Rattus norvegicus: one gene and its partners. The protein of the gene in region 2 purifies or fractionates together with the protein of the main gene of each other region. This does not show direct contact. Links are inferred from orthologs where the notes say so. Each region holds a gene or a part of one and is shown on either strand. Other genes may lie near its edges.

Region 1 (3,079 bases), on a different chromosome or scaffold from region 2:
TAGTCTTGTCTTGTTCACTTCCCATCAGGGTTACTGACTCTGCCTGGCACTGGAAGGTGATGAGGGATATCCTCCCCAAGAGGGAGGTGAGAGCTTCCCACCCACCTGACAGCAGAGTGCAGGACGCAGGCGGCCCTACTCTGACAGGCAGGACCCTGACCCTCCCACCCTCCATCCCCCTCTGTGGTTTCACCCTACCCTGCCCACTTCTGTCCCCAGCCCCACTGGCAGAATCAGCTTTGAGTAACTGTACATTTTTCTCGCTGTTGGAGAAGACTTATTTGTTGGAGTTTCAATTGTTAATGGTCTGGGCTTATTTTGGAAAACAAAAAAACAAAAACAAAAAACAAAAAAGACTCTAATTTCTCATTTATGATGCACTTCCTGGGAAATCCAATGGGGACTTGATTTTGTGCTTCAAGTGGAGAACCTTGAGCACTGGGGTGGGGGTGGGGGTGCGAAGATGACATGAAGGGGAACAGAAGCTCTGGGAGATGAAGTCCAGAGAAGTTAGATTTATTAACAGCAAAGATTGAAGGGTAGGGACAAAGGGCTCACAAAACAGACAACTAGAAAAGTGCTTCCCTGCCCTAAGAATGGTGTCTGTGCTGACCTCATTAGAAGGTCTTGAGGCTCAGTCACTGTCACTGTCAGCCTCACTGGAATCAGAAGCTGCAGCTTCACTGCCATCTTCCTGAGCTGAGTGTTCACTACCACTGGGGAAGGGGCTGGCACTCCGGCTACGACTCCTGCTCTGGCTGCGGCTCCGCTGGCCACCACCATCACTGCCACTGTCCGAGTCATTATCACTGCCCCTGTGGGCCTGCCCTCTGTCTTCATCATCAGAGTCAGCATCATCTTCTGAATCAGCATCACTACCGAAAATCTCCTCTTTGTCCCGGGCAGCACGTGCTTCGTCCTCGCTGCTCTCATCCTCACCGCTGCCACTCTTGTCACTTGCCTCATCCCTGTCACCCTCCTCTCGATCACTCTCACTGCCAGAGCGCTCATCCTCGCTGCCTTCCTTTTCGCTGCTGCTGCCCTTCTCATGTTCCTCATCTGTGAGGAAGTAGGCACTGGTGAGATTCCATTGCCCACCCTCCCAGGGCTCCCAGGATGTGACCAGTCCTTTACCTGAGCCTCCAGCTTCTTTCTCTTCAGCCTCCATCTCCTCCTCCTCCTCTTCCTCTGGTTCGTGGTTTTCCAACTGGGCCTTGCGTGCCTCCTGGAGTCAGCAAATTGGGAAGAAGATGGAAGACTTCTAACCCTGTCCTCACTCACTACACTCCCTTTGGGTATTCTGGGACAGTAGAACTTACCTGGGCTTCTAATTCCTTCTCATTCATGTCACGGTGTTTGACCACAAGCAAGGCATTGGTACCCGACTGAACCCCAGCCTTGGCCCGGCGCTTACTGAGACGGACCCTGCAGTGGACAATTGCAGAAGGGGAGTTAGGCTCCACTGGGACCAGTCTAACTTGACACCTAGTTCCCTATCAATAATCTGACCCACAGCATACCAGAAAACAAAGTATACATACAGTGAACGTGAAAGATGGTATTACGGGTTTGATTTACCCAACTTTTAAGTTTTTTGGATTTTTCTTGTTTCAAGATTTTAAGTGAATGGGTGTTTTGCATGTTGTATGTATAGTACCCCAAGAAGCCACAAGAGGGCATCAGATTCTTTGGGCAAAACTGTCTAAGTGGGAACTGGGATACGAACTGGGGTCTTCTAGAAGAGTAGCCAGGGTTGGGGATTTAGCTCAGTGGTAGAGCGCTTGGCCCTGGGTTCGGTCCCCAGCTCCGAAAAACAGAAAAGAAAAAAAGAAAAACAAACATCCTAGAAGAGTAGCCAGTAGTTATTTGGGTTTCTGGCTTTTAAATAGAAAAGCATTGGATTGCAGCTGAATTGTAGTACTCACTAACGGTGTTGTCACTGTCTGTTTTCACATCTCCAGCCATATTGAACAGAAACTCAAACCACAGGCCCTAGGACAAGTTAGCTTTCAGCCCTCAAAAGAAAGGTTCTGAGGTAACACTCTTGAAGTTTTTGTCAACTATTTAAAACCTGAAGGCCTGGAGGAGATGGTTCAGTTGGTAAAGTGCCATGGGGGAACAGGAAAGAGTAACTTCACCCAAGTTATCCTCTAACCTCCTCATGCATGCACACAAAATAAGAGCAACAAAGGAAAGCTGATTCAATCTCTGGCTCCAGTATGTACACACATGAACAGAAAAATGACTAGGTTTACATCCTACATTGTGTGAAAATTTTCTTTGTGGTTTATAGTACTAGGAACAGAGAGCCAAGTCCAGCCTACATTTTTTTTTTTTTTTTTTTTTTGTTCTTTTTTCCGGAGCTGGGGACCGAACCCAGGGCCTTGCGCTTCCTAGGTAAGCGCTCTACCACTGAGCTAAATCCCCAGCCCCCCAGCCTACATTAATAAGCAGGGTCCTGCTGCTCTCTCAGATACATAAAACAAATATTTAGGTACAAATGACTTCAGAGTAGTTCATTCATGGTCTCAAAAAACAAAAACAAACAAAAAAACCCACAACAGTGCTGAGTACCTGGTCTCTAGCTCATTGTAGTAGACACCATCACCCTCTCTGAAGATGAAGAAGTAGTTTTCCTCGTAGCCCTTACTGGCCTTGTTCTTCACATTCCAGTTATATTCTCGAGCAATCTTGTAGTCATACCTGGGAAGAAGGTACACAGTCAGCCCATTGGTTATAGAGGAGTAAAGGAAACATACTTCTGAATTCTAAAGCCTCACTAACCCTAACCCTAACCCACTTACACATCATCTGGTGCATAGTCCATCTCTTCCTCTTGGTCCCGCTTTCGTTTTTTTAGTGTCTCTTCCACAGGCAGAAAATAAGCCACAAACTGGTTCCCTTCCTCATCCATCATGCCCCTGGTTTGGGGGAAAAGAGAGTAAAGGTCAAAAGCAAAGTAACAAAGCTGGGTGTGGTGACACATGCCTGTACATTCAACATTCCAGAGATTGAGGCAAGAGGAATGCAAGGAGCCTAGAGGTCAGCCTGGGCAACGGAACCATAACCTATGTCAAAA
Region 2 (4,110 bases):
GAACATCTGTCTCTGATCCTTGTGGGGCAGTAGGAAGAGACGGAGAACTGTAGTATAGGGGATCTTGTAGTCAAAGGTTTTGCCATGCAGGTGTAGAAAGGTAGGGTAGATCCGGATATCGTAACGACCACGAGGAGTCAAACACTGCAGCTCCCGGAAGATGCAGATGGCATCTCCAGTGGCCTGGATCACATCTGCCTTTGACAGGACATTCTGGGCAAAGGCCTATGAACACACATGGGTATTCAAACAGCCAGCCTCTGCTCCCAGGCGAGCCGGCCAAAGTATACTCGGCAATGTCCAGCAGCCCAATATACAGAAGCCTTACCTCCACAGGGTCCACTCCATCTTCCTGCGTGGGAGGGACATAGAAGCGCACCTCCATGAGAGATACTTCAGCATCATCGTTCTGGTGGAATTCCAGGGTCACCTCATTCTTGCCTGTTGTACACTGGGACACATTGCTTAGGGGTATCTCAAAGACTGGTTGATCACCAATGTCAAAAGAAAGCAGCTGCCCTGTGAGGAAAGAGCTTGTCAAATCGCAAGCTCCTCCCCAAGAGTCGACAGAAGCAGTCCCACCAAGACAGAGGACTGGAGGAACTACCAAAGCCAGGCACAGTGTCTGGTGGACCGTGCATGCTGGACAAATCCATGCTAAACACACAGACTGAAATTAAGAAATTAGAGCCAAGGAAAGAGTAAAGAAAGGTACTGTCTGAGGCCCTTCTTCACCCCACCTTCTCCCCAAAGCTCAATCTCCCTCACTCACCACCAAATTTCACTGTCCCCCAGTTCCAGCCCTTCACACAGAGATCCTTCTCCATCAGCTCAAGGCGATAGTGGGTTTTGAAAAAGTCAGAGAGCTTCTCAAATTCCTGTAAATCAAAAGGAGAAAGTGCGGTCCCAGTTAAACCTCTGGGCCTTAACACAAATGTCCTGAGATTCTGTAGCTCAGTTCACCAATGTGTCTTCCTCAGAAACTACAGCTAACTAAGTATACCGACTCTGAAAACATTTTAAAACACTTTTACTTTGTTACTAGAGGCAGTTTCTAGAACCCAGATGCTCTCAGCCCTACTCTCAGGGATGTCCTTCTTTCAAGCCTTTTCTCTTAACCTTTATGCTTAAAACCCTTTAAGTGCTAGAGACCTGATGGCCTAGCAGTTAAGGGAACTTTTTCTGATATAAGACCTTGGAGTCATTCTCAGCACCCCACAGTGGTTCACAACTGTCTGTAACTCTAGTTCCAGTTGATCCAATGCCTTCCTCTGAGCTCTGCGGACACCAGGCATGCACATGGTGCACAGGTTTGCATGCTAGCAAAGCCTCATGCACATAAAATAAATAATTTTTAATGAATGAAAAATTTTTTTAACAACAGCAACAACAAAAACCTTTTGTTTCTGGGGTCTCTGGCTAAGTGTAGTAAAGAAAGTTAAATTCCCAGATACGTGTATGACCTTACTGAGTTTCTAAACTTTGTATAGGTGATCTTTTGATAAAAGTGGATATTAAAACCAAGTAACTCAAAAGCAGCTCAAAATGGAAAAGCAAAATCCTAGAGCACCAAGCTAGAATTTCTGAACCAGGACAGAAGGAGCAAGTGGAAACCACCACCTAAATTAAGGTGGTAAAAAACCTTCTGGAGTCTAGGCACAAGACACGGGTACTGAATATAGAAAACACTGGTTTTCTTGTTCAATAGTCTCCAACCGCCCTGCTCTGAGGAACCCAAATGAACAATGACATGATTATCAGAGGAACAGAAACTGTCTCTAGAAGATTAAAATAAACAAGACAAGGCAGTCACAAAGAGAGGGGGTCACAGAACAAGACTGCTCACCGATTCACGGAAGCCATCATACTTGTAGACATGCCCATTCTTTGTGAGCAGTTTAAGTCCATGGCCTAATGCTACCCGACGCCAGATGCCTTCGGTCAACTCCCCGGCCTGGATGTTGTCCACTTTGCCCGTCTTGCTGTTCTTAAAGATGATACCCTGACGGCTCAATCGAAGCCTCCCATCATTCTGCCCAAAATACAGACCCAAAATCAGAACAGGATACACACGAAGCGGGTCCTTTCAACCCCTTATCCATACAATAATACAGGCTGGCCATTTTATCAATAAAAAGGCAACAGGTTGTGGTGAAATCAAGTCAAAAGACACAAGAGACATTAAGATTTTCAGTCTTGAAAGCTTGGCTCTAGTGTCAGAAACCCTGTAAGGGCTCCAGTTCCCGGTTTTTTAACACAGGGATTTAGGATAGAACTACACATGCAATCTCTTCAAACTCAGTATCATGTAACTCTTGAGACTTTGCGGATGTTTTCGCTTGGCGGACACTGATACACTGTTTCTAAAAGAGTAGTCAGAGTTAAGCTTTTTGTTAATAAAACAAGAACTCTTTCCCATCTCTGCCTTTATTAAAAGCCCAAGTCATTCTCACCATGGACCCTTTCACCTCCTGGAAGATGTCGTTGAACTCCAATGTCTCTGCCATGTTCACCTGCCCGTGGTGTTCTGAGCACACAGCCCTAAGCTGCACCAGAGAAAAACGAACCCTTATCTGGATGCTGGGTCCCAATTCCTGGTTAGGTGTGTAGAGATGTTCAGCAGGGTGTGAATCTGAATTCGGGAAGGAGACTGATAAGCAAGAAACGACACCTTACTCCGATCACCCATGAGTAGCTGTGCCTGGAATATCTCAAGTTCTCTACTGCCTGGGAATCTTACTGACCGGCTCTGCAGCGCTCCTGAGGCCAAGGCCCAGGACCCTAGGTGCAGAGCCAGGCCTATAGTGGCACTTACATCTCAACCCGACACCCTCTCGGTACGTTCCACCGACAGGCACCGCAACAATCGGCGGAACCTGGGACCGGCTCAGAGAGCGCACCTCAACTCCGCTCAGAGGGTAGTGTCCTGATCGCAGCGATCCCACCACCCCGAGGCCCCCGTGAATCTACGTTTCTCCCCCTTCTTTTAAAATGGATTCGCCCACTGCCCGCGAATTTGAACGCGGATCGATCCATCCCAATCGTCCCGCGGGGGAGCAGGGCCCATGCACACCCGGAGCCCGGGAATCGCGACCACCCACCTCTTCGAACTGCAGCCTCGCGACGACACAGTGAGGGCGGTGGGCGCAGGGGGACGCAGGGGAGGGGATAGGGATACGGGGGAGGGGGTGCCGGGGAACCTTTTCCCGCGTGCGCGGTTCCGCGTCCCGCCACCGGAAGTCGCGCACAAACCATAGAGAGGAAGACCTGGCTAGAAAGGCACCATCCGGGCCGACCAACGGGACTGTCGCCTAGAGCGTCGGTGCCCCTGGTCGTCTAAAGCGAGGGTCTTGCTACGGGATCCCACGAGGCTGATTTCTTGATTAGAAAACGGGATCGCTTCTTAGAAAGTTACAGGCTGCTCTTCAAAGACTAGATTCCGAGGGGAAATTATGCGGTTTCAGGTTTGTATGTTTGTTGGAATCATGCAGGTTCCTCCCTCCTGTGAATAATCTGGGAAGGAGTCTGTTGAACCAAAAAATAAATAAATAAATAAGTAAATAAGTAAATAAAAAATAAAAATACAGAGCTGTGGCCAGAAATGTCGCCTCCGCTAGCTGCAAAGGGAATGCGGGTGTCGGTGATTGTGCTTGCTTTCCAGCTGTACCCTGGCAAGCAGATGAGATCCTTTCTGAAATGAGTTCACCTTCCACCCCCAACACCATCCCATCCATATCCCTAATTTGTGGGTTCTCAGGAAGAGCCCAGCAGATGGCTGCATTAAGTTCAAGTGGTGGTGTCAGATTTACCTTTGAGCTAGAACTTACTTGAAATCACATCAGCCTGCGTTGGCAGAAGCCTGGATGGCCTCACATAGCACCAGAGTGCATCTTGCAAAATCTGAAGCCAGGTCTGAAAGAGATGCTTGAGTTTATCTTGCCTTCCTCATTTTACAGATGAGAAAAATGAAACCACAGAAGATTTACCCGGGGTGTCAGTACATTGGCATCAAAGCTGGAACCTAGAACTCTTTTAACAGTTTATCATAATTTAGAGTGATTGCTAGCATATGTCCTACAAAAAGACAGGATATTTAAACTCACGGTCTCC
Region 3 (3,500 bases), on a different chromosome or scaffold from region 2:
CTACATAAACTAAACCCGCCCCAACATGCATAACTAGACTATTATTTTTGCTGTATCATTCTACTTGCCAGCTCTTACACTATTTCTCCGAGACTTAGCCAAAAGCAAACAGATATTAAAAAACAAAAAAGCAACTAAACAAACAATTCTTTAAAGAGCAAGCAAACATATTCTTTTTTAATTCGGGAATCCTCACCCCTCACTGAACTACTATGACTGAATTCCAAGTGTCTTCACGTCTGAGCTGCCTCTCAACGGTAAGAGAGGGGTAGCAGCTGTGGAGGCAAGGCCTCCCTCAGGTCACAGTCATATCTACTGATCTACAGTCAGATTCAGTCATATCATAATCTATAACACACGAATAGATTTTGTCTGATAAACCACTACAGACCACTGGCTTGAAAGATTATGTTTATAAATTATAATTTTAAGAGCTTTCATAAAAACAAATAATAACCAGACCTTATTTAAATGAAACATTAGCCAAAGAGAACTTCCAATGAATATATTACTGTATTGTCTTTAAGCTAAAACTGAAATACATATTCTTAGAATTCTGCTTTACCAAAAGAAATACTTAAAAATTCTTACTTGTAAGGCCTCCTGTTTATTATAGAATTCGTTATTATCTGGTGGTTTAATGAGGTAGCAATGGTTACAACATTTCTTTAGCTCCATCATAATGTTCAAAAAGCCTGAGGTACTGCCCTTGGAACCTTTGCTGAGGGCTTTGTAATTCCTAGTTAAAATCCACCTTCAAAAACAAAAGTCACATGAACAACATTCAGCAGATCATCACCAAGATAAATTCTGAAAGCTTAAAAACAACACTAACACCAAATCGAAACTTCACCCTTCCCAAGTTCCTGGTTACATACAGGATGGACTGAACCTCACATCGAAGGCTTAAAAAGTACACATAACTTGTCTGATCCATCGACTACATACAGAGGTTTTATGTAGCATAATAAACACATTAATCCTTTTCTCGAGTTTTGGGAAGCAGTGGTCCACAGTATCAATCTTCTTAGAAATTTCATTCCAGCAGACAAGTAATTAGAACCACATCTTTTCCAGTCTCATGAATACCTGGTTTGGTCATACTGTCCTCTCTAAATTGCAGTTATGTGATACCTATGCAACTTGAACATCACTTCAAACCACACACAATTCTTCTCTCAAAACCTACTTTAATTACCTATTGTTAACTTCCTTTCTCGTAAATTTACCTTATGAAGAATATTAAAAATCCCACACTATCTAGGTATTCTTTTATTATCTCTCTTTATTATTGGTTACTTGGGATTTGCCTGACTTAACTTAGAAGCAAACAGGAGTCCATACACAATTCTTGGTTCTGAAGGAGGTATTTCAGGCTGAGACCTTACTTTACTGTACTCAGAATGTCTCCTGTGTTTCTGGAGGAGATACTCTAAAAATTTTTACAAATTTATGGCAATCTTTCAAGGCTAATTTGGGCATCAGTCAGGACTGTGTTCACTACCCCACCCCTAACCCTGCAGGAGGGAACATACACCATTTAAAGCCACATTTTATTACCATAGTAACCCCAAAATAGTACCCAGAAGTTATACGCGTTATATATGCTTTCTCCTTTTAACTGTTTCAAAATCTTTTCCATTTTTAAATTTTCCTAATTTTCACCACACTACAAAAAAAAAAAATACTTAATATTACTCTTTTCCATTATAAAACATTCTCTCCATAAACAAAAACCCAAATCTAAACAAGCAGTTGATCTACAGGAAATAAAAAGGATATTTTTAAAGATTCCAGAAAAATATACCAGAAAAATCTACAATGAAAAGTTTATTCAGAAACCTGTTTCCTTATCAAAGGAATTTTAAGGGGCACGGATACCTACAAGTGAGGCACTTCATTATCTCAGAAAGATCATATTCATTTCTGACGTAAGCAAAATTTAAAGTTTAAGGCAACACAGAAAAGGCTTTACTGAACATTGACATAAAAAATGTTAAACTTTATAAATGGGTATCTTTAAAAATTATTAGAGACACATGAAGAAATATGAATGTACCTCTGACATGCCTGAGAAGAAGAAACAGAAGAAACTAGTGCACTAACAAACTCAAACTTAAGTCACGGGCACTTGGGAGGTTTGTGAGGCAGGGCAGACCCTACAGTCCAGCTCTGCCTAGAACTCGATGTACTCTGGATGGATGGATTTGAATCTCAAACTCTCTGACCACCTCCAAGTACTGAGGTCACAGTCTGCACCCTAAGACCCACAATAAACCCACATGCATGGCAGTTAAGAGATTTTCACCATAAAATTTAACTTTTTTTAGGATGCTAAATATAATCACGATGTATTTCCTTGTACAAGTAACTATCAATACATGTTAGGACATGTTTTGGTTTTATCCTTTGAAAAGTGACTATATAAATTTGACAAGGAACTTACACAAAATATAACTTGTTCATGTTCTTCAAAAAAGGGAGGAGGCAGCTAACACTCTGTCTAAGGCTTCTTTAGCTCTGTCAACTACCACAACTGCTGGATATATCAGGCTGGTTGAAAGGTAAATATGAGCAGGGGGATTCGCGATGATGTGTTACAAACATGGCTTAGGAGCAGGAAAGATGGCTCACTGGTTAAGAGCCCTTGCTGCCCTCACAGAAGGTCTCAGTTCAGCCCCCAGTGCTCGTACAGAAGTTCACAAGCATCTGTAACGTGGGTTCTGGTGGATCTCAGGCTCTACTCTGGCCTGCGTACCAGGTACCAAGCATGTATGGTACACACACATACATGCAAGCAAAGGCCGATACATATCAAAGTAAGTCCTTCAAGCCACGGTTTAATCTTGGACCCAACCCTAAAGCTCCCTGCTAATTAGCCATAGAAGAAACGTCCTTTAAAACTGAGTGAGTTGCTACTCTAAGATCCATGTGGGGATGCAGAGCACCACAAGGGCAAGGACAGCTAACTCTGAACTGTGTTCTATTTGGCTTACTTGTAATATTGTTTCTGTAAAGCACTCATTTCCATTCTTAAAATCTGCTCCACCTTGGCAGGAAGAGATTTTTCCACATCTTTCTTAACTCTGCGTAACAGAAATGGCTCAAGCTCCTTGTGGAGGCTTGCATAACCATATTCTCTGCCTTTACCATGTTCTTCCTCAAAATCTTCCCATGAAGAAAACCTTGAAACAAATTTAAGGAACAGTTATTGAAAATAAGCAAAATTGTATATAAAAGCTAAACTTAGTTACCTCTAAGTCTCCAACCCAACAAGTTCCTCCTATACATACACACACACACACACACACACACACACACACACACACACGTGAGTATACGTTATCTATATGCATAGAGAGTGGGCATATATGATCCAACTTGAGCTACAGAGTATATTTAAGGCCAGCCTGCACAACTTAGGGAGACCCTACCTCAAAACAAAAAGTAAAAACGAGGGCAGGAGATGTAGCTCGTGGCAGACCCTACAACGTGTGATA
Region 4 (3,500 bases), on a different chromosome or scaffold from region 2:
CAGGACAGTCAGTCGGCAAGAGATATCTGGGGCACAGTGAAAGACCACATCCACCCATGGACTGGGAGAAGAAGGATTTCATTCCAGAGGCAGGAAAGAAAGCATTGCTGATAGTTGAAGCAGAAGGTCCTTGCTGTGTTGTGCTGTAACGGAAGGCACCAGAACTGACGTGTAGAGCCTTAGGCCAGCTCTTCAGACCCTCGGAGGGCGGGCTCCTTTACTGTAGAGTGAGTGAGGAGCAGCTGCAAAGGATGGACTGCACCTAGTCCTAGGTAAAGGGAGGACCGGGCTCCACCCACCATCACGGACCTTACCTTACATAACAAAGCACACACCTTTCAAGAATTACTCTGAAGGTTAATGCTCTCAATGCTGCAGTTCAAGGTCAGATCAGAGATGGTTTAACAGTGAAGAACAATTATCACTTACAGAGAACCAGAATTTGATTCCCAGCCCCCACACTGGACAAATCACAACTGCCTGTAGCTCCATCCCCAGGTATCAGCGTCTCCCAGGCGCACGTGCATGCACTAGCTGATACACTGCGCATATGATTCTATGTGTGTGTCTGCACCTAGTGCCTGAGGAGGACCTCAGATCCCCTGGAACTAGAGCTACAGACGGTTGGGTTGTGAGCCACCGTGTGGGTGCTGAGAACCAGACCCAACAAGAGTAGCAAGCCCTCTAGACCACTGCACATCTCTGCTGTCCTTAGATAATCTTTAAAGTGTGGATTCTTTTTTGAGACAGAGTCTCACTAAATAGCCTTGCTGGCCAGGAAGTCCCAGTGTAGAACTCCTAGCGATCTGCCTGCTTCGGCCTCTGCAATGCTGCGGTTAAAGGCCTGTACTACAACAGTAGACATGAATTTCTTAGAGAATAAAGAAGACAGATGAACAGGTTGGGTGAGCAGCATCGACTGTCACTTAGTTCCTCAAGGTTGCTCAGCATTAAAGATGTGTGTGACGTAGGTGAGGCGTGCGGAAAGGTGCTCCAGGCCAAGGCACTCACAGACATCAGCCTGGGTGTCCCAGCTATGCCATCTGACTGGTCAGCAGAGAGGAAAGTCCCTCCATCCTGGCCATGGGAGCAGCCTGTCAGGGCAGCAACACAGCAGGAATGGGAAGCTTTAGTGTGTCACTCTGACCAGCGGACAGGCCTATGCAGGTTGGGCCATCCAGACCTGCAGACGGTATATTCATTACAGTGAAACTAGACTAGAACTCAGTGGCAGGAGACCTGGGGATTAGAGAGATGACTGGATGCTGTCTGTGCATGGGCAGTCAAAGGACAACCTGCCAGAGTTGGTCCTCTCTGGGGTGTGGATTCCAGGGATGAAACTCAGATTGGCAGGCGTCTGTGCCTACTGGGCATCACCAGTCCTGGCCTGTGTGTTTCCAAGTTGTGTGTGTGCTTTCAGTGACCGTCCCCAAGGACCAGCTCCTCCTCTCCATAGCTGTGTTTGTCTCCAACTGCAGTGTTTGCCTGCTCTGTTGATGGTCCTCCCCTGGAATCCTTCTGCCCTGCTCGCCCAGTTCCGTGCCAAGTCTCAGCCTGAGCCATGCTGCCTTTCTGCCTGTCTTAGCAGGACTGTAGGCTGTGTGCTCTACACATCTGAGCATCCATTGTATAAGAGCTTGCACGTTGGGGGCTGGAGAGATGGCTCAGCGGTTAGAGCACTGACTGCTCTTCCAGAGGTCCTGAGTTCAATTCCCAGCAACCACATGGTGGCTCACAGCCATCTGTAAAGAGATCCCATGCCCTCTTCCGGTGTATCTGAAGACAGCTACAGTGTACTTATATATAATAAATAAATAAATCTTTAAAACAAAAAAAAAAGAGCTTGCATGTGTGCACCAGTGTGCCACAACATGCATGTAGGTCAGAGAACAATTGCAGAAGGCATTTGTCGTCATCACTGTTGGTCCCCATCATCTCCCTCATCTCCCTCTCCCCTTCCTCTCACTGACTTTTTCTATTTACTTAGATTTATTTGTTTGTTTGTTTGCTTGCTTGACTTGGGTTTGTTTTGTTTTGCTTTTTGGAACAGTCTCATTGTGACCCCAACTGACCTGGAACCCACTGTGTAGACCAGGTTAGCCATGTAGAACTCAGATCTGCCTGCCTTTGCCTCTCCCAAGTGCTAGGATTAAAGGCATGTGTGTGCCATCACACCAGCTCTCATTTTTTATTTTCTTGATAAAGCTATTGTTATCCATATGTCTAAACCAAATTAAGGCTCAATTTTTAAGTTCTTTGGAATAGCAGTAAGACAGATTGTTAAATGATACTTGTGAAGCGACCTACGTGGAAATTTTTAAGAGAGCTTGTTTTCAGTTATTGAGCCAGCCATAGCTTCTCCTCTCTAACATAAGTGACCTAAGTTCTCCACTCATTGACTTGCTCAGCACAAGCATTTCACCGAAGACATCCAGACCCGGCAGTACCGGTCTTTGGAGGTCCTGATAGGATCTGGCTACAACACCCCTGCTGACATCTGGAGCACAGCATGCATGGTAAGCCCTGCCGCCTTCCCTGTTTGCTAGTGCAGTGTGTGACAGCGGAGTGACCCCCCAGCTGCTCACTGGTGACAGTCAGAAAGCAGGGCGGTGTGGGGAACCGACAGTGGCTGTTCTCAGACATTGATGTTCCTGTGTTGTGGGTGACTATTGTCCTTGAACTCTTAGTCTTGATCTGTTTGCAAACTTGGGACAGACGCATGCCACTGGGAAGGCTGATGTCCTCTGCAAGTGAGCCACTCGCCTGTCTGTCAGTCGAGGGTAAAGCCCAGGCAGGCACCTACGGTGCACAGCTCACTGCTCTGGGCGGGGCGGGGCTGGGCGGGGCGGGGCTGGGCTGTTTCTTGATTTTGGTTTTTCCCCTTTATTTATTATACAGTCTGTGCTTGTCAACACCAGCCGGTGGCATTGCTGTCCTGTGAGCTTGCGCTTTGAGCTTGAGCCGAGGCTTTCCCTGCTCATAAGGACCCTGACTTCCCAGGGCAGACAGGTTGAGGACGTAGTCCTGCACCAGTGCCTTTGCTTTGCATGGCGGCCTCAGTCAGCTCCTGCACGGCTGGCTACAAGCACCAGCTGGTGTTTTGTTATCAAAGGCCAGATATAGAGAAGTGCCACACTTCGTGAACTTGGTCACCCCAGGGAAGGTCCCCTGTGTGTCAGGTTTGCACACTTACACTTTAATTGCTGTTTCATTACTCCCACAAGATCAAAAGTATTCAACAGTAAGCAAAGAGAATTAAGGCTTACAGAGGAGAGGAGACGACTCGTTATGTCTGGTGAGGCAGGGGGATTGCCAAGACCATCCTGGGCTACGTAGTCAGAAAAATCTCAGCGTGGTCTGGATTGTAGATTACGTTTCCAACGATTTAAGATTCCAACAGGGAAGGGGGGGAAGGGGATAACATTTGGAATGTAAATACATAAAATGTCCTATAAAAAGATAAGCCGATTCCAGCACAGGGTGGGGCTGCTTGTCTCACA
Region 5 (3,500 bases), on a different chromosome or scaffold from region 2:
AGAGCACTGACTCTTCTTCCAGAGATTCTGTAAGATCTGATGCCCTCTTCTGGTGTCTGAAGACAGTGACAGTGTACTCATAAGAGCACTTAGTACTTGTACATTGGACCTGTGTTCTGTTTTCGGCACTCACACAACAGTTCACGACTGTCTGACTCAGTCATAAGTGATTCAAGGTCCTCTTCTGGCCTTCATGGGATAGTGCTACAAGCATAAGCTGCACATATACATGTAGACAAACATCCATGTAAATTAAAAATTATACATCACAATTTTAAAGAGTGTATCAGGCAACTTTTATGGGGGTTAGCCAATTTATTGATCATAGCTTAAATGTGCTTTTCTCTTCCAGGTACTTTTTGACCATGTTGGTTGTTTAAAGAAATATGACACTGTGTTGGATATTCTAAGAGACTTCTTTGAGCTCAGGCTTAAATATTATGGATTAAGAAAAGAATGGCTTCTAGGAATGCTTGGTGCAGAATCTTCTAAACTGAATAATCAAGCTCGCTTTATATTAGAGAAAATAGATGGCAAAATAGTCATTGGTATGTAAATATCTATACCTAAATGTTGGGGACCGGTCTTCCTGGATCGTTTATTATTTGAAAAGCTTTAGTGGTACTGGGGCTCAAATATAGGGTCTTGTACTTGCTAAGCCTATATTCTGCATTAGCTTCATCCCCCTAGATTGAACATTGAAGAAATCTATACTCAGTTAATGTTTACACAGAATCTAGAGAACTAAAAGACCTTGTGTATGGCTGGGGTGTAGCTCTCAAAGTGGTAGAATGCTTTCCTGACATCCACAGATCCTAGGTCCAACCCCAGTCTCTGCATCAGCTTCATGTGTTAGTGCATGCCGTGATCCCAGCACTCAGGCGTGGGAGGGTGGGGGAGGTGGGGGGGGAGAATCAAGGCCAGCGAGCACATGACCCCTGTCTGAGAAAAGAAATCTTGTATAGCTAAATTGATCACAAGAAGAGACACTGATTTGCTCTTAAAATGAAGGAAGGTTATAAATGCCTTATAAGCACGGAAGACTGGAAAATGGCAAATCTTAGTGATGTTTTATCTTTTGCTTTACTGGAAATTTCATAAGCAATTAAACAGGGTTTAAATGAGTAGGAAGAGTCTTGACTGAAGCTGAATATAAGAGGAAGATTAGGGGTTGGAGAGATGGCTCAGTGGTTACAGCTCTTATTTATAAACAGCCCAAGTTCAGTTCCTAGCACCTACGTGTTGTTTCGCTATCATCCATAACTCCAGTCCAAGGGAGCTGCTGCCCTCTTATGGCCTGCATGCGCACCAGACACACATGCACAATAGGTACATTGCCAGTGATTTTGACTGACTTTAAAGCATGATGGTCTGCAACAGACACTGAGAGAACCGCTGGAGAAAGGGAACAGACGTGCCCCGTGCTTCTGTAACTAAGAGATTCAAGCTCTGTGCAAACTGCCCTAAAACCTGATGAAGTGTTGAAATAAAAGCCAGAAAACAGGATTGAGTTCCAGGCTCTTCAGAAGTGGAAGTTTTCCTTCTATTTTAAGATTATGTAGATTACTGTCTCCTCTATGGTCTAACTGGAACTGTCCCATGGTAATTCCTTTGTCCTGGCTTACAGAAACTTGTCTGTTCTGCAGAAAAATGTAGGCAAATCATAGTTCTGCAGGGAGGAAGGTTGGGGTAGGGGAATTGTTGGTTTGTTTTTCATGGCAGGGTTTCCCTGTGTAGCCCTGGCTGTCCTGGAACTCACTCTGTAGACAAGGCTGGCCTCAAACTCAGAGATCACCTGCCTCTGCCTCCTGGGTGCTGGGATTAGATTCGAGGGCTGCCACCACCTGGCTCTAATTTTCCAGTTTTAATCTTTTGACTTAACAACGTAAAAATAACTTGTTTTTCCAAATCTTACTCAAAGCTTTCTCTCTTTTTAAATAGAAAATAAACCTAAGAAAGAATTAATTAAAGTTCTGATTCAGAGAGGCTATGACTCCGACCCTGTGAAAGCCTGGAAAGAAGCTCAGCAGAAGGTATTTCCTCCCTCTCTGTCAGCCCTGCAGCTCCACATGTGCTTGTCCTGCTTACGATCCTGCTGTGACACTCACACAGGCAGAGCATCACACACAGAAAGAAAATAGAAAAAATACTTCGTTAAAAAATGTAAAATTTGGGGCTGGAGAGGTGGCTCAGTGGTTAGAGCACTGACTGCTCTTCCAGAGGTCCTGAGTTCAATTCCCAACAACCACATGGTGGCTCTCAACCATCTGTAATGGGATCTGATGCCCTCTTCTGGTGTGTCTGAGGACAGTGACAGTGTACTCATATACAATAAACATATAAATCTTAAAAATAAAAAAAGTAAAATTTACTTTCTAGCATTTCTAGAGGTCACAGTACAGAGTAAAGGAAGCTGTGTGTCTGTATTTCATAGTCCGCGTGCAATTCACCCTTCAGGTCCCAGAAGAAGAGGAAAATGAAGAGAATGAAGAGAGCGAGAGTGAAAGCAGCAGCCCTGCAGCGGAGTCTGGACCGACCTTCAACTACCTTCTTGATATGCCCCTGTGGTATCTAACCAAGGAGAAGAAGGACGAGCTGTGCAAGCAAAGGGACGAGAAGGTAAGCTGCTGGTAGGAGGGGTGGTCAGTGTTTAATTTCGTTCTCATGGGAAAATGGTGTTCTGTTTAAAAACGAATGGTCCTTGTACATATTTACTAACCCCATATTTTGGTGATTTTATGAAGGAACAAGAGCTCAACACGTTAAAGAAAAAGACTCCATCGGATTTGTGGAAGGAAGACCTGGCTGCTTTTGTGGAAGAACTGGAGGTTTGCATTTATAAAGCCTGTATTACTATTTACAGCCTAGCAACATTCCCTTTCTTATTTTCCTTATGGATGAGGAGGTGGAGGGGGAGTAGGTGCAGGTGCCCACAGAAGCCAAGGTGCCAGTCTCCCAGAGCTTCAGTTGTGAGTCACCCAGGGTGTGTGCTGAGGACAGAACTCAGTCTTTGCAGCAGTAAGGGCTCCTAACCACTGAGCCATCCTTCCAGCACGAGCAACCTGTCTTTTTATCAAGAAAGTTCTATTGGATAAAAGAAAAAATATAGGAAAAGAGACTACATGACAAAATAATGAAGAGGCTGACTGTGGTAGCCATGTAGACAGCCCTCAGACTAAGGCAGGGACATCACAAGTCTGCGGAGCCTGGGCTACCAAGTGAGTTCAAGTCCAGACTAAACCATAACACAGTAAGACTGTGTCAAAAACCAAGGACTAGGATGTAATAGAATTATAGAGCACTTTCCATACACTTATAAACCTTTGCCCTCTATGCTTTGCACTTCAAAAAATAATAACATGGCACAAAAAATAATGGCATAGCATATGGTGAGTGAACATAAAAGAACCCTGGCTGGGCTGGAGAGATGGCTCAGTGGTTAAGAGCACCCGACCTGGGTTGGGGATTTAGCTCAGTGGTAGAGCACTTGCCTAGCAAGC
Region 6 (3,500 bases), on a different chromosome or scaffold from region 2:
TGCTTCCAGCCCTCAGGAGGCAGAGGCAGGTGGGAGTTAGAGGCCAGCCTAATCTAATACATACATAGCAAATTCCAGGTCAGCTAGGGCTATAGAGTGAGACCCTTGTCCCCAAAGAGAGATTAAATCTCAATTTCCTTAAAGAAATAAAAACAAGGGCTGGAGAGATGGCTCAGTGGTTAAGAACACCGACTGCTCTTCCAGAGGTCCTGGGTTCAAATCCCAGCAACCACATGGTGGCTCACAACCATCTGTAATGGGATCTGATGCCCTCTTCTGGTGTGTCTGAAGACAGTGACAGTGTACTTACATAAATATAATAAATAAAATAAAATAAAATAAATAAAAGCAAGACCATATGCCAGGAAGGGGTAACAGTGGAAGGGACCAGATTACACTAAGGAAATAGAGAACATTTTAATCCCACAAAAATGCCTAGTGATATGTCCCAAAGCAGTGAGCTGCATGGCCTTATGTGTACAGTTAATGACCAGGATAAACACTTCCACTTTACCGAACACCATGCCGAAGGTTTGCCTCTTCTCAAGAGCTCATGGTGACGGCAGTGCAGGGAGGGCACACAATGTAGCATCAACTCAGTTCAGGGATGGACCGCTGAGCACGGCCTGACTGAGGTAAAGGGCAGCTTCCACTGGCAGAGATCCTAAGCTGTCAAGCTTTTGTGGGGACAGGTCAGGGTGAACGGAGTGTCTTTATGTGCTGGGAGAGCTTTTGCCTAAAGCTCTAGAAGTATCTACTTCAATGGGGAAAACTCAGAAGACCCTGCCTGACTCTCCTAGGGCTTTCTGGGAAGATGGACACTGCATATTCTACCTGCCACTCACTCAACAGAGACACCTTAGGTGCAGGTCCTTGGTCCAGCACCTGCAGTCCAAATTGCTCTTCAGCGTGCAGTTTACTAAAACCATTCTGGAAGCAGGCTGGGACTCACCTGGACCGGCTGCCTGAGAAGGAACTGCGTCTGGAAGAGCGGCTGGAGTAGGAGCTGTAGGAGGAGGACCGGGACCGGGACCGGGACGAGCCAGAGCCAGAGTAGGATGAAGACCGTGACGATGACCTGTGACCGACGGACAGAGCAGAGGCAGTGAGAATATTACTGCCTACTTCACTACCGCAGCGCTGGGATGCGTGAGCCGCTGTTCTTTTAGTGCCGTGAGACAGCATAGCTCCACAGACACCGCAGTGCCATCACCCTCAGTGCAATGCTGTGGAGACCAGGACTGGGCACCCAGGAGGAGCAGGTAACTCAGAGGCTAGTTTGAGTTGCTAGAGAAGGCCAGAGTGTGAGTTTTCAAGCTGACCTGGTGTTCCCATGGCTGTGTTCCTGGATCTGTCTGGGAGGTTCTTCCCAGACTCCTGTGGAACTCCCTCCCCTCAGTGTCTACAGCTGTCCCCCGACCCAACACGCACACACACTGAGTTCAGAGTCACTAAGGGAAGTTCTCCAAGAGCTAGGTGACTGGTCAGCAGAGTGTGTAGTTCCTCGTCAGCAACCCAGAGTCTTTCCCACAGGATCTGAGAGGCTTTCCCCGTCTTGAGTGACTGTATGACTCTGGCAGACAGCCAGTGTCTATATCATGTTAGGTCACCCGTCCTACTTACTAAGTTCTGGAGCACTGAAAGTCTTGGCCCAATACTTGGTATCAGTCCTACCTAATCCTAGCCTGTCCTTGGGTAGTGACCACACACATGCACATGAACTGGCAGCCAGTGAATGTCACCAAGACACAGTCTTTGGTGCCCTCTGTACCTGGAGGAATTGGAAGCAGAAGCTGATGAGGCGGATGTCTTGCGACGCCTTCGTGCCCGGCTTGGGGAGACTGACACACCAAGTTTCTTCTTGGGAGACTTGGATCGGCGCCACGGGTCCTTCCACTCATCGGCTCGCTTCACCTGTGGCCCCACAGAGGCGGTCTCCTTCTTTGGTGGTTCAGCTTGACGGCTAGAATCACAGAGGGGCTCTCAGTGCTCAGGCCGCTACCCTCCCCCAGCAAGGCTGCTTTGAGAAGAGACTGGAAAGCCAGGGCGGTCAGTGACAGCTTATGTAAGAGATGCTGAAGAAAGTCAGAGAGAGGAGACATGGCACACCTTCTACCCTACAGCGGATTCTCTCCAGAAACCAGCAGGATTCCCATTTACTCTTACGTGTGGTAAGAAGTACTTTCTTGGTGGTGGCGGCACATGTCTTTAATTCCAGCACTTGGGAGGCAAAGGCAGGTGAGATCTTTGAGTTTGAGGCCAGCCTGGCTTATAGGGAGAGTTCCAGGACAGCAAGGACTACACAGAGAAACTATGCCTCAAAAAAACCAAAAAACACCAAACCAGAGCCGACCAACACCCCTCCCCCAAGAGTAAATATTTTTAGAGGAGTCATTATTTAATTCTATCTTTCTGACTGTACTGTCAAACAGGAATAGAGTTCACCTCATTCAAACATGCTTATTTCTAGTGCTGGCACACAGTAGGTACACAGTATTCATGAAATTAAAGCAACAAGAATCGTGTTTTTAAACACCTGTTAACAAGCCCATGCCTTAAGCCTTGTCTTTACATTTAAAGAGTCTGGTTCAACTGCAGCCCAGGAACTTGATTAAAGCAGAGAGAGAATGAGGATCCCAGGCTCTTCCCCCACAGCACTGGCCTCAAGTGCTCGGGAGGCTAGAGAAGGAGGCATTGGGGAAGGCTGCACTACCATCATGGACACAAAAACACTGCCTATTTATACTTTCAGAACTCCTTTTGGTCACCGGCCAGTGGCAGGCACCAGGACTTTTACCTGCTGAGGAGTGCAGGGGAGAGCAACATCCAGTGCTAAGGCTTAACCACAACACATGTGCCCGTTACCTCAGTCCTAACCCCAGAAGCTCGTGCCCAGGTGCAGCCAGGTGCTGCCGATAAAGAAAGGCAGGGAGGAAGGGAGAACCTGACAACCTAGCGGCTCTAGGTCATGGCTTTTCCTCCATGTTCTCATTCTAAATCCAAGGCTGGCTGGGTGGGTAGAGAGACGACTAAGCAGCTAAGAGCACTGGCTGCTCTTCCACAGGAAGTTCTAGTTCTAGCATTGTGGCCCACATAGCATCTTTGATACCCTTTTCTGGCTGCCACTGCCACTGTACACAGATGGTGCACAGACATATATACAGGCAAAATACCATACACATACAATAAAATAGGATTAGAAAACAGAACAAATAAACAAAAAACCTAAGAGGAACTGACACCAGGATCACTAGCCTCTTACTGGTCAACTGGCTAGCTGCAGCCGTTCCACGAGGAATACCCTGGTAGCGGAGAGTTCCCTCTTCTTTAGATGCAGTCAATGCAGTATTCAAATCCACTTCACAGGAAGAGCCCCTCACTACCTCTACAAACAGAAACCAGAGACCACTGAGACCATGCACCTCACTCAGCAGGTGGAGAACAGTGTTGCGGACGGCCTCAATCTTCTCATCCCTGTAGCATGAGCATCTGAGGGCTGG
Region 7 (4,041 bases), on a different chromosome or scaffold from region 2:
TATAAGAGCCTCTTGAAATATTCCAAGTCAAAACAACCAGAGATCAAATCGCTAACAAGAATTAAATGGATACCAAAATGTTTGTAATAGCCTGGGAGAAAATGATAGATTACAATCAGTGGGACAATTTCAAGGACAGAGAACAGAGGCCTATTTTTCTTTTCCCTATTGTATACATACCGGCTGGTAGGTCTCTGCCCCACATTGATCGCAAGTGTATGTGGCCACCACCATCCTGGGCTTGACTTCAGACACACGAGTGACAATCCCACGCACAGTTAACAATTTCCCTACAGAATCAGCCCGTACTTCCCGGATCACTCGAGGCTTGCTGCTACTTGGGCCTTGGAAATACAACTCACTAAGAGAAAGAAACATTTGTCAACAAGGCCCTGGAGAGCAAGTCCCTGCCCCTTCCCACAGAGGTACTTACAATCTACGCATGAGCTCAGAAGGATACTGGTTTTGAGGGTTCCGGACTGCCCCAGGGTCTCTGCTCCGCTGCTCCATCATCAATCGGTGTTCAATGTAAACATCCAGGACATCCTTATTCACCACCTCCTTCTCCTTGTACTCAGGCAGAAGCTCCTGTACTACGTCAGCAAACAGCCTCGAGTAGCGCTTGGCATTCTCGCAAATTGAGTCGACCAACTCAGGGTCATCTTCAGCTACATCATCTAGGTCCACGTACAATGCCACTTGTTCCCGATGAGCCAGATGAACCTGAGGTAAGGAAGAGACAGTAACACTTTAGAGTCAAGTTCACCTCACCCACAAAAGCGCTTCTAAGTCACTGGCCTACCTCCCATGGGGAAAAACAGAATAGTGTCCAGCAGAGTGACAGGTGTTCCCAATCCCAGCACTTAGGATTTAGAAGACAACAGAATGAGGAGCTCAAAGCCAACCTTAGCTATGTAACTACATAGGGTGTTCTTGATGCTGGTCTGTGCTACACACAGACTATCCCTAAAAACCAAGAGCTAGGCATGGATGAGAATGCTCAGCAGGTTAGACACTTGCCATCTAGCCAGATGACCTGAGCTTGCTCTTCAAAACACATGTGGTGGGAGACTCCCACAAATTGTCCTGTTGACCTCCACACATGCTATGGCATGCCCATGTGAGCACAAGCATACAGGAATAAATACAAGTAAAACAGCTAAGAAAATCCAAAAGTAAACATAGAAGAACTCAAAACTTTGTATAAAAACAATCAAAACCAAGTCATTCACTGATAGCCATTCTTGCTATCACAAGGTAGGGCACCTTATACAAGTTCTTACACACCACTCCACTCCCCATAACCCACCCTGAGACTTACCAACTGGGTCCCATACTTGAACTGCTTCTTTCCAAGCTCATCATCATAATAAAACTCTTGCAGGAACTTCTTCACTTTTTCTACAAATATGAAATAAAATATCTTTGTGGACAGTGAGGTGTAAAGCCCACGCCAAGTCTGACAACTGGAGTTCAATCTCTGGGACCCACCCACAGGTTGGAAGAGTTCTGCGGGTGTCTAGCACCCAACTGTAAGCTGTGATGTGCCCGTGCAAACGCGCACGTGCTCTCACAAACAATAACGTAGCAAAAAAACTTAAAAACAATCACTCTCCCTTTTGGATTCTTTATTTCAAACTCTTAACGGAAAACTAAGAAACCCGCTTGGCGGGACTTATGAACTAGTTAGTTAAATGAACATTCAAAACAAATCTACCAAGTTCTCAAAGTAGCAGTGCTCCCTTTCACAAGTCTGTTTTTACCTAGGGAAGAATATAGGTCCCTGGGCAGTTACAATAATCTTACCTAACCACCCTCAAGAAATTCCAGTGTCTGCCTTAGTTAGGAACCTCAGTTTCTTCAATTCTCTCAGCTTGCTCACAGTCGACCTAAGACCCTCGGTTCTCCCTCTACCAGTACAGTACAGCTCTTTCTTTTCCGGCTCCCGCCAGAACGTCTGCCACTAGGCCTCCTTCGGCACCCCATGCCCGGCTCCCGCCACTGCTTCCGCTCTTAGTAAACAAAGAAGCACATGGGCCTGGATTCCAGCCGCCTCACAACCCAGGATTCCTCCGCCTGAAACCGGTGGCCGTGCGGGGATTGGCCAGAACTCCAAAGGGCCACTCGGATTCACCATACTGCCAACGCTCACCGCCCGGCGCTCAGCCTCCCAATCCCAGGCACGCCCCTACCTAGAGCAGTTATCTCCGATGCCACCGCGCGGAAGGACACTGTTTACACACGACAGCCCTCCGATCAGGTAGCGCCATTTCCGCCCGCCTCTACTTCCGCTTGGAGGGCGGCCGAAAACTACCAATCGCGGAGCGGAGCGGTCCAGCAAGCCCCGCCTCTGGGCTCCGGCGCGCCTCGAGTGCACGCGGGAATTTGCTAGTGCCCCAAGGCGCAGAGGCTGGTCTAGTAACCCAGTCCCTCAAACCCCGTACTGAAGGCTCCACGTCATCTGGTCTTCCCCGAGCACGCCCCTCCTCTTTGTGGCCTTCACTGGGTTCTCTCCCTAACACAACCACATCATCTTTTCCAAGCAGAATTGCTTCCTCCATTCTTAATGCCCATTGCTTATCCCAGGTGCAGTTAGCTTGTCCCCAGAGTCACAGATCTCGGCTCCCCCCAAGACCCAAGCTCCCCTCAACAGGTGTAGGTAGAGAAGTTTCCCTCCGAGGACGCCGTTCCCAGCCCTATAGAGCATCACCTTTCTCAATCGCATAGTCCTTAAGCGCCATCGCTGCCGGGGACCGTGCGGCAAGACTTAAATGGTTCTGAAGTCTCACTCCGGGGAAGCAGAAAACGAACGCGCAGCGGTACGTAGCTCTCCAACCGAAATTGGCGCGAAACGTCGTCACCCATGTGACCCATACGGCTAAATACGGGCCAATCAGAGAGGGGGTTCCCAACCGCTGCCGGCCCCTAACTTTAACCAATCACTGGATGAATCTAGATTGAATGACAGAGAGCTAGGGGGCGGGCCGGTGGAAGATTGCCTGATTCTGCTGGGTTGGGCACCCGATTTCCCGCGGTTCGAAATTAATGCTCGCGAGTGTGTGTGTGGGAGGAGTTTCTTAAAGCGCCAGCCTCAGTGCGGCCTTTTGTTCCGTGTCCGCAAGGCGGGGTGGGTTCAACTTTCACCGTCTTCTTGTCTATCCTTCAGAACGGCCATGATTTCCCAGTTCTTCATTCTGTCTTCCAAGGGGGATCCGCTCATCTATAAAGACTGTATCCTTTGGACCGGGAGACGGGATAGGGGAGGTGGGTAGAAATCGAAACCAGGCCAGTCTGTGTCGCCTGCTCCTTAACTATCTTTCCATCTGGCTAGTCCGAGGGGATAGTGGTGGTCGTGATGTGGCCGAGCTCTTCTACCGGAAGCTGACGGGACTGCCGGGAGGCGAGTCCCCGGTTGTCATGGTAACTACTGTGGCAGGCGAGCAGGGGCTTAGAACTGTGGAGGTGGGTGGGTGCCTCATCTCTCCCTGTCAAGGGCGGCTTGGTAGGAAGAAGCTTTTTTTTTTTTTTTTTTTTGGATGTAATGAGCAAAGGCGAGGTTTATTACGGAGATCTATTATGGGGATCTCCGGGCCGACATGTATCCCGCGCAGGAGACAGAGGTGTCGACCAGGAAGAAGCTTTTAAGGAGGAAGGATTCGTTTCTCCAAGTAAGATAGATGAGTACTGACAAGACGCCAGATGCAGAGCCTTGCATCCCCATCTCTAGACTATCAATAACTCAGAGAGGTAGGTGCTACCTTTACACGTTAGGTGGCCAGGTCTTAGGTCTCAGGGATCGCCCAGCGTCACACTTCTACCATCACGATTGGAGACCCCAGGGTGCTATCTTGCAGGCTACATTACTACAATTCTGGTCTTTTGTTAATAATGCCTCTGTCCTCAACTCTGCCTTAGTATCACGATGATCGTCATTTTATTCACATCAGACACAGTGGTCTCTATTTGGTGGCCACAACTTCAGAAAATGTCTCTCCTTTCAGCCTCCTGGAGCTACTTTCCAGGTGAGTGGGGCTGGAACAG

The links.
Region 1: the proteins of Ssrp1 (region 2) and Paf1 fractionate together in Homo sapiens (co-fractionation; 3 studies listed by BioGRID and IntAct, with this or other methods). This does not show direct contact. The link is inferred for Rattus norvegicus from reciprocal best matches to the Homo sapiens genes SSRP1 and PAF1.
Region 3: the proteins of Ssrp1 (region 2) and Chd1 purify together in Homo sapiens (affinity purification with mass spectrometry; 3 studies listed by BioGRID and IntAct, with this or other methods). This does not show direct contact. The link is inferred for Rattus norvegicus from reciprocal best matches to the Homo sapiens genes SSRP1 and CHD1.
Region 4: the proteins of Ssrp1 (region 2) and Srpk1 fractionate together in Homo sapiens (co-fractionation; 3 studies listed by BioGRID and IntAct, with this or other methods). This does not show direct contact. The link is inferred for Rattus norvegicus from reciprocal best matches to the Homo sapiens genes SSRP1 and SRPK1.
Region 5: the proteins of Ssrp1 (region 2) and Top2a fractionate together in Homo sapiens (co-fractionation; 3 studies listed by BioGRID and IntAct, with this or other methods). This does not show direct contact. The link is inferred for Rattus norvegicus from reciprocal best matches to the Homo sapiens genes SSRP1 and TOP2A.
Region 6: the proteins of Ssrp1 (region 2) and Zc3h18 purify together in Homo sapiens (affinity purification with mass spectrometry; 3 studies listed by BioGRID and IntAct, with this or other methods). This does not show direct contact. The link is inferred for Rattus norvegicus from reciprocal best matches to the Homo sapiens genes SSRP1 and ZC3H18.
Region 7: the proteins of Ssrp1 (region 2) and Mcm7 purify together in Homo sapiens (affinity purification with mass spectrometry; 4 studies listed by BioGRID and IntAct, with this or other methods). This does not show direct contact. The link is inferred for Rattus norvegicus from reciprocal best matches to the Homo sapiens genes SSRP1 and MCM7.

Annotation. Positions count from the first base shown.
Region 1 is NC_086019.1:92,814,197-92,817,275, reverse strand, and holds the end of Paf1 (RNA polymerase II-associated factor 1 homolog), read right to left. Parts: intron 2,922-3,079; coding exon 2,805-2,921; intron 2,704-2,804; coding exon 2,575-2,703; intron 1,426-2,574; coding exon 1,320-1,425; intron 1,226-1,319; coding exon 1,135-1,225; coding exon of another isoform or gene 1,060-1,134; coding exon 635-1,059; 3' UTR 501-634; downstream 1-500. UniProt on the Homo sapiens protein: Component of the PAF1 complex (PAF1C) which has multiple functions during transcription by RNA polymerase II and is implicated in regulation of development and maintenance of embryonic stem cell pluripotency.
Region 2 is NC_086021.1:90,530,173-90,534,282, reverse strand, and holds the start of Ssrp1 (FACT complex subunit SSRP1), read right to left. Parts: upstream 2,801-4,110; 5' UTR 2,633-2,800; coding exon of another isoform or gene 2,508-2,632; coding exon 2,454-2,507; intron 2,033-2,453; coding exon 1,847-2,032; intron 879-1,846; coding exon 773-878; intron 520-772; coding exon 329-519; intron 226-328; coding exon 1-225. Other genes in the region: P2rx3 (P2X purinoceptor 3), read left to right, coding at 3,453-3,464. UniProt on the Homo sapiens protein: Component of the FACT complex, a general chromatin factor that acts to reorganize nucleosomes. The FACT complex is involved in multiple processes that require DNA as a template such as mRNA elongation, DNA replication and DNA repair.
Region 3 is NC_086019.1:65,368,216-65,371,715, reverse strand, and holds part of Chd1 (chromodomain-helicase-DNA-binding protein 1), read right to left. Parts: intron 3,186-3,500; coding exon 2,997-3,185; intron 755-2,996; coding exon 592-754; intron 1-591. UniProt on the Homo sapiens protein: ATP-dependent chromatin-remodeling factor which functions as substrate recognition component of the transcription regulatory histone acetylation (HAT) complex SAGA. Regulates polymerase II transcription.
Region 4 is NC_086038.1:6,652,836-6,656,335, reverse strand, and holds part of Srpk1 (SRSF protein kinase 1), read left to right. Parts: intron 1-2,408; coding exon 2,409-2,516; intron 2,517-3,500. UniProt on the Homo sapiens protein: Serine/arginine-rich protein-specific kinase which specifically phosphorylates its substrates at serine residues located in regions rich in arginine/serine dipeptides, known as RS domains and is involved in the phosphorylation of SR splicing factors and the regulation of splicing.
Region 5 is NC_086028.1:84,449,094-84,452,593, reverse strand, and holds part of Top2a (DNA topoisomerase 2-alpha), read left to right. Parts: intron 1-352; coding exon 353-548; intron 549-1,941; coding exon 1,942-2,033; intron 2,034-2,457; coding exon 2,458-2,619; intron 2,620-2,744; coding exon 2,745-2,828; intron 2,829-3,500. UniProt on the Homo sapiens protein: Key decatenating enzyme that alters DNA topology by binding to two double-stranded DNA molecules, generating a double-stranded break in one of the strands, passing the intact strand through the broken strand, and religating the broken strand.
Region 6 is NC_086037.1:67,376,538-67,380,037, reverse strand, and holds part of Zc3h18 (zinc finger CCCH domain-containing protein 18), read right to left. Parts: intron 1,964-3,500; coding exon 1,772-1,963; intron 1,079-1,771; coding exon 953-1,078; intron 1-952.
Region 7 is NC_086030.1:22,160,379-22,164,419, forward strand, and holds the start of Mcm7 (DNA replication licensing factor MCM7), read right to left. Parts: upstream 2,801-4,041; 5' UTR 2,742-2,800; coding exon 2,711-2,741; intron 2,264-2,710; exon of another isoform or gene 2,193-2,263; intron 2,031-2,192; exon of another isoform or gene 1,807-2,030; intron 1,402-1,806; coding exon 1,322-1,401; intron 724-1,321; coding exon 434-723; intron 362-433; coding exon 181-361; intron 1-180. Other genes in the region: Ap4m1 (AP-4 complex subunit mu-1), read left to right, coding at 3,174-3,231, 3,332-3,456, 3,916-4,022. UniProt on the Homo sapiens protein: Acts as a component of the MCM2-7 complex (MCM complex) which is the replicative helicase essential for 'once per cell cycle' DNA replication initiation and elongation in eukaryotic cells.